2 linked regions of the Macaca mulatta genome follow. The protein of the gene in region 2 purifies or fractionates together with the protein of the main gene of each other region. This does not show direct contact. Links are inferred from orthologs where the notes say so. Each region holds a gene or a part of one and is shown on either strand. Other genes may lie near its edges.

The links. Proteins that work in one complex are often made in the same cells at the same time.
Region 1: the proteins of GET3 (region 2) and UBL4A purify together in Homo sapiens (affinity purification with mass spectrometry; 4 studies listed by BioGRID and IntAct, with this or other methods). This does not show direct contact. The link is inferred for Macaca mulatta from reciprocal best matches to the Homo sapiens genes GET3 and UBL4A.

The regions. Positions count from the first base shown.
Region 1 is NC_133426.1:160,668,902-160,673,026, reverse strand, and holds the start of UBL4A (ubiquitin-like protein 4A), read left to right. Parts: upstream 1-1,280; 5' UTR 1,281-1,288; coding exon 1,289-1,336; intron 1,337-1,539; coding exon 1,540-1,645; intron 1,646-1,893; coding exon 1,894-2,102; intron 2,103-2,220; coding exon 2,221-2,331; 3' UTR 2,332-4,125. Other genes in the region: SLC10A3 (P3 protein), read left to right, coding at 1-362. UniProt on the Homo sapiens protein: As part of a cytosolic protein quality control complex, the BAG6/BAT3 complex, maintains misfolded and hydrophobic patches-containing proteins in a soluble state and participates in their proper delivery to the endoplasmic reticulum or alternatively can promote their sorting to the proteasome where they undergo degradation.
Region 2 is NC_133424.1:13,293,253-13,297,297, forward strand, and holds the start of GET3 (ATPase GET3), read left to right. Parts: upstream 1-1,206; 5' UTR 1,207-1,215; coding exon 1,216-1,376; intron 1,377-2,208; coding exon 2,209-2,356; intron 2,357-4,045.

The sequences.
Region 1 (4,125 bases), on a different chromosome or scaffold from region 2:
TCAGCTTTGTGCTCCTCCTGGGCGGCCTTTTCCTGGCCTATCGCATGGGGGTCTTCATCCTGGCAGGCGTCCGGCTACCTATCGTACTGGTGGGTATCACAGTGCCCCTGGTTGGCCTGTTGGTGGGCTACTGCCTGGCCACATGTCTGAAGCTGCCTGTGGCCCAGCGGCGGACGGTCAGCATTGAGGTAGGGGTGCAGAACAGCCTGCTGGCCTTGGCCATGCTGCAGCTATCCCTCCGCCGCCTTCAAGCTGACTATGCCTCCCAGGCCCCCTTCATTGTGGCGCTGAGCGGCACCTCCGAGATGCTGGCCTTGGTCATTGGCCACTGCATCTACAGTAGCCTGTTCCCAGTTTCCTGAGGCCTCTGGGTCAAGCTTTCATCAGCCCCAGCCCCCACACTCCACCAAAGTTCTCATGCACTATGCACTCAGAAAAATCCAGGCTTATTTTTTTTACTGATTTTTTATTCTCCAGCTTTCAGTGCCACAGAGGCCATGCTGAGTTAGGTAGGTGGGCGCTGCCCAGAAAATATATTTCAATAAAACAGAGAAGCAAGCTTGGGTCCCTTCTAATCTTTGCCCTTTGGGGCCTGGGCGTGGGGGTAGAAAGAGTGTGCTGGGTAGGTGTGGACCAGGGTGGAGGGCCAGCTTGGGTGACACGGTGACCCCTGCATAGGCTTTCTCTATCAGCCCTCCCGGGGCGTGTCCCCACTGTAGGAGAGGTGGGAGGATGAGGGCAGAGGCTGGCCCCCCTACCCCCTCTCAAGCTCAGTGGGGTGTTTCGCAGCCAGACCAGAAAGGAGGAGCCAGAAAGCCACCAGGCAGGGAGCCGGCGGGGGGGGCGCCGTCTGTGGGTATGCAGGGCCAGGTTCCGCCAGCAGTAACGGCGCGTGGGGTGGTCCAGGCAGTCTGCGGGGGCGAGCGTACCTTCTGGTCCTTCCTTCTCCATTCCCTAGCTCCCAGATGACGCCAACCTGGCCCGACTAGTTCCTGCTCCCAACTCCCCGGCGCTGTTGCTTTGGGAGGGGTCCGCCGGCCAGGGCGGTCGCTGCGCGTGTGCTAGGCGGGACCCCAGGGGCACTCCTCCCGGGGTGCAACTGGGCCGGGGGGCGGGGCCGGGGCGTGGACGAGGCAGGAGGGCGGGGCCGGGAAGCGCGGGCGGCGGGCGCGCCCCTCTCGCTGCTTCCGGCGGCGGCGGGCGGTTCCAGCGCGCGCCCGGGGCGGCGGCGCGCGGCGGGGGGTGGTTGGGGTGCGCGCCGGCCCGAGTGGACGCCGTCGCGACCGCCATGCAGCTGACGGTGAAGGCGCTGCAGGGCCGGGAGTGCAGCCTGCAGGTAGGGTCCCCGGGCCGGGCGGCCGGGTCCGGCGCGCTCTCTCGCCGGCTCCTGGCAGGGTGACCAGCAGGGCCAAGGGCGGGCACGGGGCGGCCGGGCCGGGGACTGGGAGCCGGGAGAGCTGCCCTCGGGAGCGGACGCGTGGGCTTCGCCGCCTGGGGACCGCGGCCTCAACCCTTGCCTCCCACCCTCCGCGCGGCCAGGTGCCGGAGGACGAGCTGGTGTCCACGCTGAAGCAGCTGGTCTCCGAGAAGCTGAACGTCCCCGTGCGCCAGCAACGGCTGCTTTTCAAGGGCAAGGCCCTGGCAGGTACCCAGGGAGAGGAGACGCCCAGGGAGCCCCGCAGGAAGCGGGACTGGGGTGCGCGGGCCGAGGCCGGCAGCCGTGTAACGGGTTGGGGTGCCGGCGCCAAGCGCCACATGACCCCAAGGGAGGCGGCCGCATGCCTCACTGCCGGATGCCGCAGCGCTCCGCTCCCGCCGCCCGAGGCGGTCTCGCGTCCCGGGCCACCCCCACGGCGGCGGAGGAGGAGGAACCCATCGATCTGTCTTTGGCAGATGGGAAACGACTCTCGGATTATAGCATCGGGCCCAACTCCAAGCTCAACCTAGTGGTCAAACCCCTGCAGAAGGTGCTACTAGAAGAAGGCGAGGCCCAGAGGCTGGCCGACTCCCCACCCCCGCATGTCTGGCAGCTAATCTCCAAAGTCTTGGCCCGCCACTTCAGTGCGGCAGATGCCAGCAGGGTCCTGGAACAGCTACAGAGGGTGAGAAGGGTAACCCTGGGTATCCTCTCCAGGCCCAGTTCCTCCCAGCCCCTACCTCTGTTGCAGTGTATGGCTCCCCACTGGCAGCCCCTGAATCTTCCTGCCCTTCTCTCCCCAGGATTACGAGAGGTCCCTGAGCCGCCTGACGCTGGACGACATCGAACGGTTGGCCAGCCGCTTCCTGCACCCTGAAGTGACTGAGACGATGGAGAAAGGCTTCTCCAAATAGCATTCTCGGAGCATGGGGAGGTGCCCAGTGCCAGGCCACAGCAGCATGTCACACTAAGTGTGTTCACCTGTTGCAGTTGGGCTCATAATAATAGCTGGCATGTACCTGGCTCTGGCCACGTGCTAGGCACTCCTCACAGCTTGACCTGGGTTTGCTTCCACACCCTCAGAAGAGGTGAGCCAGCACAGCAGAGGCACTGGCGGTGAAGTGGCGGAGCCCCAGTCGGAATCCAGCGGCTTCTGAAAGTGCCTTGGTGTGAGAAGGAGGAAGGGGCTGCTTGGAGAGCTGGGCTCTGGCATGTCATGTTTAGCCCACTGAGAATATACCCTCAGGTGACTCCTTCCCAATCCTGAAAGGGAAAGCAGCTGTCACCTGACCTCTGGCGGGTCCAACATAGCCTTCAGCTTACCTCTGCAGGAGGCCAAGTGACAGCCAGCCCTGGAACCACCACACCCCCAGCAGCTGCTGCAGCCAGTGTGCTTTCGACAAATGAAAAAGCAGGTTGGGGCCAGGGAGTCAGCAAGTCACCCCAGCTCTGTGATGTGACTTCGGGGGAGTCTCAGTGCCACTTTGGTCCCCAGCCACGGACTTTATACAGTGAGGGCCACTCCCCGACCTGAGTCAGTGTCCTTCGTCTCACAGTGCCCCCCTCCCTTCTGTTCAGTAAACAAACTGAAGCCAAAAGCGAAGCAGTGGCCAAGTGTGACCCAGAGATGGGGTGTCCTGGCCCTTAGTGACACAGCTCCTCTCTGGGCACCCTGTCTGCTTGTCTCCTCCAGGAAGCGTTAGGGCTGATGGGTGACTCAGCAAGGCAATGTCAGAACTGGGGCTGGGCATAGGCCTTTGTCCTCGTCCCCAGCACTCGCCTCCCTGTGGAAGATGAACACATCAGCCACCTGTGTACAGCCGCTCACTTCGTGTGCTCCTTGTTGCCTGAGAGGAAACCTTGGGGTGCCAGGGTGGGGACAGAAACATGGGCTGGGTTCCGGTTCCTTCTCCACTGTGCCCTGTGCATGGGCACAAGAGGACATCTAGCCACCTGCTCCTTGGAGGCCCCCAGGGGTGGTAGAGGCTAGAAGGAAGCCACAGCAGGAGGACGCCACTCTGGGCCCTCCACCCTTGCCAAGTGAGCCGCTCACAGTGTGGTCGGGGCTGCACGTGCTGGAGGCCCTCCTGCCTGGGCCTGATGGGGCAAATATTGGGTCCCCGGGCTGGAAAGATGGACAGAGGCCCAATGGGTGAAGGCTTTGAAGAGCACACAGAAGCCCCTGGCCCCCCACGAGAGCTGGAGAGCCATGTATATGGCTTCAAAGCCACCTATGGCAGGGACACACTTGTGAGCATGGGTGGCCTGCAGCTCAGGTGATACATTTACCAGTGCTCTTGTTTGCGTGGTGCCAGGAAATTGATTTTGGAAAATGAAATAACATTAAAGGTGAATGTGAGACTTCCACTTTTATCCAAAAGGAGCTATATTAGCTAGGCTGTTTCTGATATCCAATCATTGGTTTAACAATAAAGGCAATTTGTTTAATCAGTAACGGAAATTTCTTGGCTTATGAAAGTGAAAAGCCCAGTGGTATCGGCATTGGCAGCAGGGGAGCAATTCTTCCAGTGTCTTCCTGCCTCCCTCTGCGTTTGTGTCTGCCACATCCCAGGCCACCACCTCCAAGGATGAAAAGGTGGCTGCCTGCAGCTTCCACAGAATCCCTCCCTCACTGCCTCACTGCCAGAGCAGCACCTTCTCTGTAGCACCTCTGCTGTCTCAGATGCCTCCAGCAAATAAACACCCTT
Region 2 (4,045 bases):
ATTAATTAAATATTTTTTTTGAGACAGAATTTCACTCTTTCACCGAGGCTGGAGTGAAGTGGCGCAATCTCGGCTCGCTGCAACCTCTGCCCTCCGGATTCAAGCGATTCTCCTGCCTCAGCCTCCTGAGTAGCTGGGATTACAGGTGCGTGCCACCACGCCCGGCTAATTTTTGTATTTTCAGTAGAGACGGGATTTCACCATCTTAGCCAGGCTGGTCCTGAACTCTTGACCTCAGGTGATCCACCCGCCTCGGCCTCCCAAAGTGGTAGGATTACAGGCGTGAGCCACCGCGCCCGGCCAGAGAATCAGATTAGTTTATGAGCTGTAGTATTCAGATGAAGTTGGGGTTATTTCTAGGCTCTAATCTCCCTCTAAAGTTAAGAGTGTCATGGGCTGGGGTCTCCATCAAGGGCCTGGAACCCAGCTTGTGTTCCTGCTCCAGGACAGAGGTTCAAACATGAAATATGGTATACTGGAGTCTTCTCTTGAAATACAAGGCGGCTTTTAGGAATTAGGGTCCCTTCTACCAAACGGAGCGCAATTACAGGCATGGTGCCTGCTAGGCATGGGAGATCAGGGCGTCCAGGACAAAACTCTGGACTCGCCCACTCTAACCCACTGTCAGCCCGGGGACCTATAGCCAGCCAACTGAGTCAATTTGTCTATGATTGGTTTGCGGCAAGAGCCAAGTGGCTCACAGCCTATTGAATAATAGAGGAGGCGGACCTGAGGCGAGGTTGGGACCTAACGTGAATAATAGAGGGAAAATGATGGACATAAAGTTGAGCCTATGGAGGCCAAGGCGGACCGGGAATCTAACTTCACCGAAAGGGCATGGACTGGGTGTTTGGCTGGTTGCTAAGGAGAGGTTGGCGCTACCGGAGCATGAGAGTGATTGGTGGACGTAAGAAAAGATGTAGCCAATGAAAGGAGAGCTGCGAGACTTAGGGCCCAATCAGTGAAGGGGAGTAGCCTGGACCGTACCGATGTGTTCATTAGGTAGGGGGAGCCCTTGGAAAATTATAGACCAGAGGTTGACAAGGTGAACCCTGGAAGCAAAGAATAGTGAAAATGTAATTTATATTTCTCCTAAAATGGAAGTAATGAGGAAATTAACTTATGCTTCTAGCCTCGATAGGAATGTGATAGAGAATTTCCCCTGTAGGTGCTTCGTATGGTGCGCTCCGCTGGATCACGTGAGCCAGTTCCAAGATGGCGGCAGGGGTGGCCGGGTGGGGGGTTGAGGCAGAGGAGTTCGAAGATGCGCCTGATGTGGAGCCGCTGGAGCCTACGCTTAGCAATATCATCGAGCAGCGCAGCCTGAAGTGGATCTTCGTCGGGGGCAAGGGTGGAGTGGGCAAGACCACCTGCAGGTAAGGAGGCTGCGGCGGGGGCCAGGAGGCGTGTAGGATATACTACTGGGCGAAGGGGAGGCCAAGGACCGGCTTTTCCACCACGACCCGGGCAAGGGGGCTGGCGGGGGTCTTTGGGTTTCACTCTCTGGAAGTTACCTGGAGCACATGAGAAAGACCTCTTCAATGCAGCCCTAGCACCCTCTGAATTGGACCATCCATGTTGGGGCTCAAGTGCAGCGCCCGGGGGACGGGGAAGCACTTAGATGTCCCCATCAGCTGGACCGTACCTGAGTGAATCCAGAGTTGTGGGTAGGGGCGGCACCAGAACAAGCAATCCTAGTTTGGTAAACCTTGGTGTTTTATGTCCAAGGCGAGAGTGAGGGTGGAAAGCGAGGGAGAGGGCACATGATCAGACTGTCCCAGGCAGCTACAGGCAGGAGGTGTCCATGCGGCAGATTATCCTGGACAAGTGGACCGAACCATCCTGTGCTTACCAGGGAGTGCAAGGGATCCCTTAGCTTATTAAAGAAGGGAGCACGGAGTCAAGCTATGCTGGCTGGACAGCTGGGCCATGCCACTGTGTGCCCAGCAAAGAAGCAGCAGGCACTAGGCCAGACATACTCAGTCATTTGAACCTTATCTCTCTAGTCCACATAGAAGGGTCAGTAGATAAATCAGAGAGGGTTCCTTTGTAGGGATTGAGGCTCAATCCCACCGTAACCCATACTCTCCTCTCAAGGCCCCTGCTGATCCGGGTCACCTGCTCCAGGGAAACTACCACTACCCTTGCAGACCCAGGGAACAGAGCCCAACCCCTCATCCCCTGTCTTTTTACTTTTCCTTTACCCAGCTGCAGTCTGGCAGTCCAGCTCTCCAAGGGGCGTGAGAGTGTGCTGATCATCTCCACAGACCCAGCTCACAACATCTCAGATGCTTTTGACCAGAAGTTCTCAAAGGTGCCTACTAAGGTCAAAGGCTATGACAACCTCTTTGCTATGGTGAGTGGAGCAGGGCTTAGCCCCCACTTCTGGGAAAGGCCTCTTCCAGCCTTTCCTGTGTGCACACACCAGCAGCCACCATGTCCTATCCACTCTTTATCCTGTGTCTCTCCTGTTTCACCCCTTCCTCAACATACTCACAAGAGAACCAATGAGGAATTGCAGAGCGGGAAGCACACCAGAGTGCCTAAAGCTTATTGAGCCAGGGTAGGGGAAGAAGAAGTTGGAGAGACCAATCAGAGCCACAAAGTGTGGTACCTTATGGGCCACGGTAAGAAGTTTGGCATTGACTCCAGGTTCAATGGAAAGCTGTTTGTTTTAAGCAGGGCAGTGTCGTGGCCAAATTCATGTTTGAAAAGTACCCTCTGATGGCCAGGTGGAGATTTAATTGTCAGTCAGTGTAGAAGCATGGAAACTAACAAGGAGATTGGGGATGTAACCAGTTGAGAGATGACAACATCCTGGACTCTGGTGGAGGCAGAATGCTGGGGGAGACATAGTCAGATTTGAGATTTTTTTCTTTTTTTTTAAACACTCAGGAATCCTGTGTCTCCCAGGCTGGAGTGCAGTGACCCGATCTAGGCTCACTGCAACCTCCACTTCCCAGGTTCAAGCAATTCTCATGCCTCAACCTATTGAGTAGCTGGCATTACAGGCATGCCCCACCACTGCCTGTTAATTTTGTATTTTTAGTAGAGACAGATTTTCACCATGTTGGCCAGGCTGGGCTTGAAGTCCTGACCTCAAATGATCTGACCGCCTCGGCCTCCCACAGTGCTGAGATTACAGGCATGAGCCACCACATCGCACTAGGGATGTATTTTGGAAGTAAGCCAGTGAGATTACTTGGTTGTAATGGGTGAGAGAAAGAAATGAATTGATTACATGTCTTTCTTGTCTCTCTAAGCAGCTAGGATGGGGAAAACTAGGAAAGGAGTAGGTGTAGAATGGACAAATCAAGAATTTCATTTTCTCCGCAGTGAATCTGAGGTGCCCACTGGAAATCCAAGTGGAAACATCATGACAATAGCTTGTTTATGTGAGTCTGGAGCCCAGAGGAGGTTGGCATTCATTTGGAAGTCACTGTCCCAAGGTTGGCATTTAAAGCTGTGTGAGGGCTGGGCATCGTGGCTCACGCCTGTAATCCTAGCACTTTGAGAAGCCAAGGTGGGCGGATCACTTGAGGTTAGGAGTTCGAGACCAGCCTGGCCAATATGGTGAAACCCTGTCTCTACTAAAAATATAAAACAGGGCCGGGCGCGGTGGCTCAAGCCTGTAATCCCAGCACTTTGGGAGGCCGAGACGGGTGGATCACGAGGTCAGGAGATCGAGACCATCCTGGCGAACACCGTGAAACCCCGTCTCTACTAAAAAATACAAAAAACTAGCCGGGCGAGGTGGTGGGCGCCTGTAGTCCCAGCTACTCGGGAGGCTGAGGCAGGAGAATGGCGTAAACCTGGGAGGCGGAGCTTGCAGTGAGCTGAGATCCGGCCACTGCACTCCAGCCCGGGCTACAGGGCGAGACTCTGTCTCAAAAAAATAAAAAAATAAAACAGTTAGCTGGGCACGATGGCAGGTGCCTGTAATACCAACTACTCATGAGGCTAAGGCAGGAAAATCACTTGAACCCAGGAGACAGAGATTCTCCTGCGTCAGCCTCCAGAGTAACTGGGATTATAGGTGCCTACC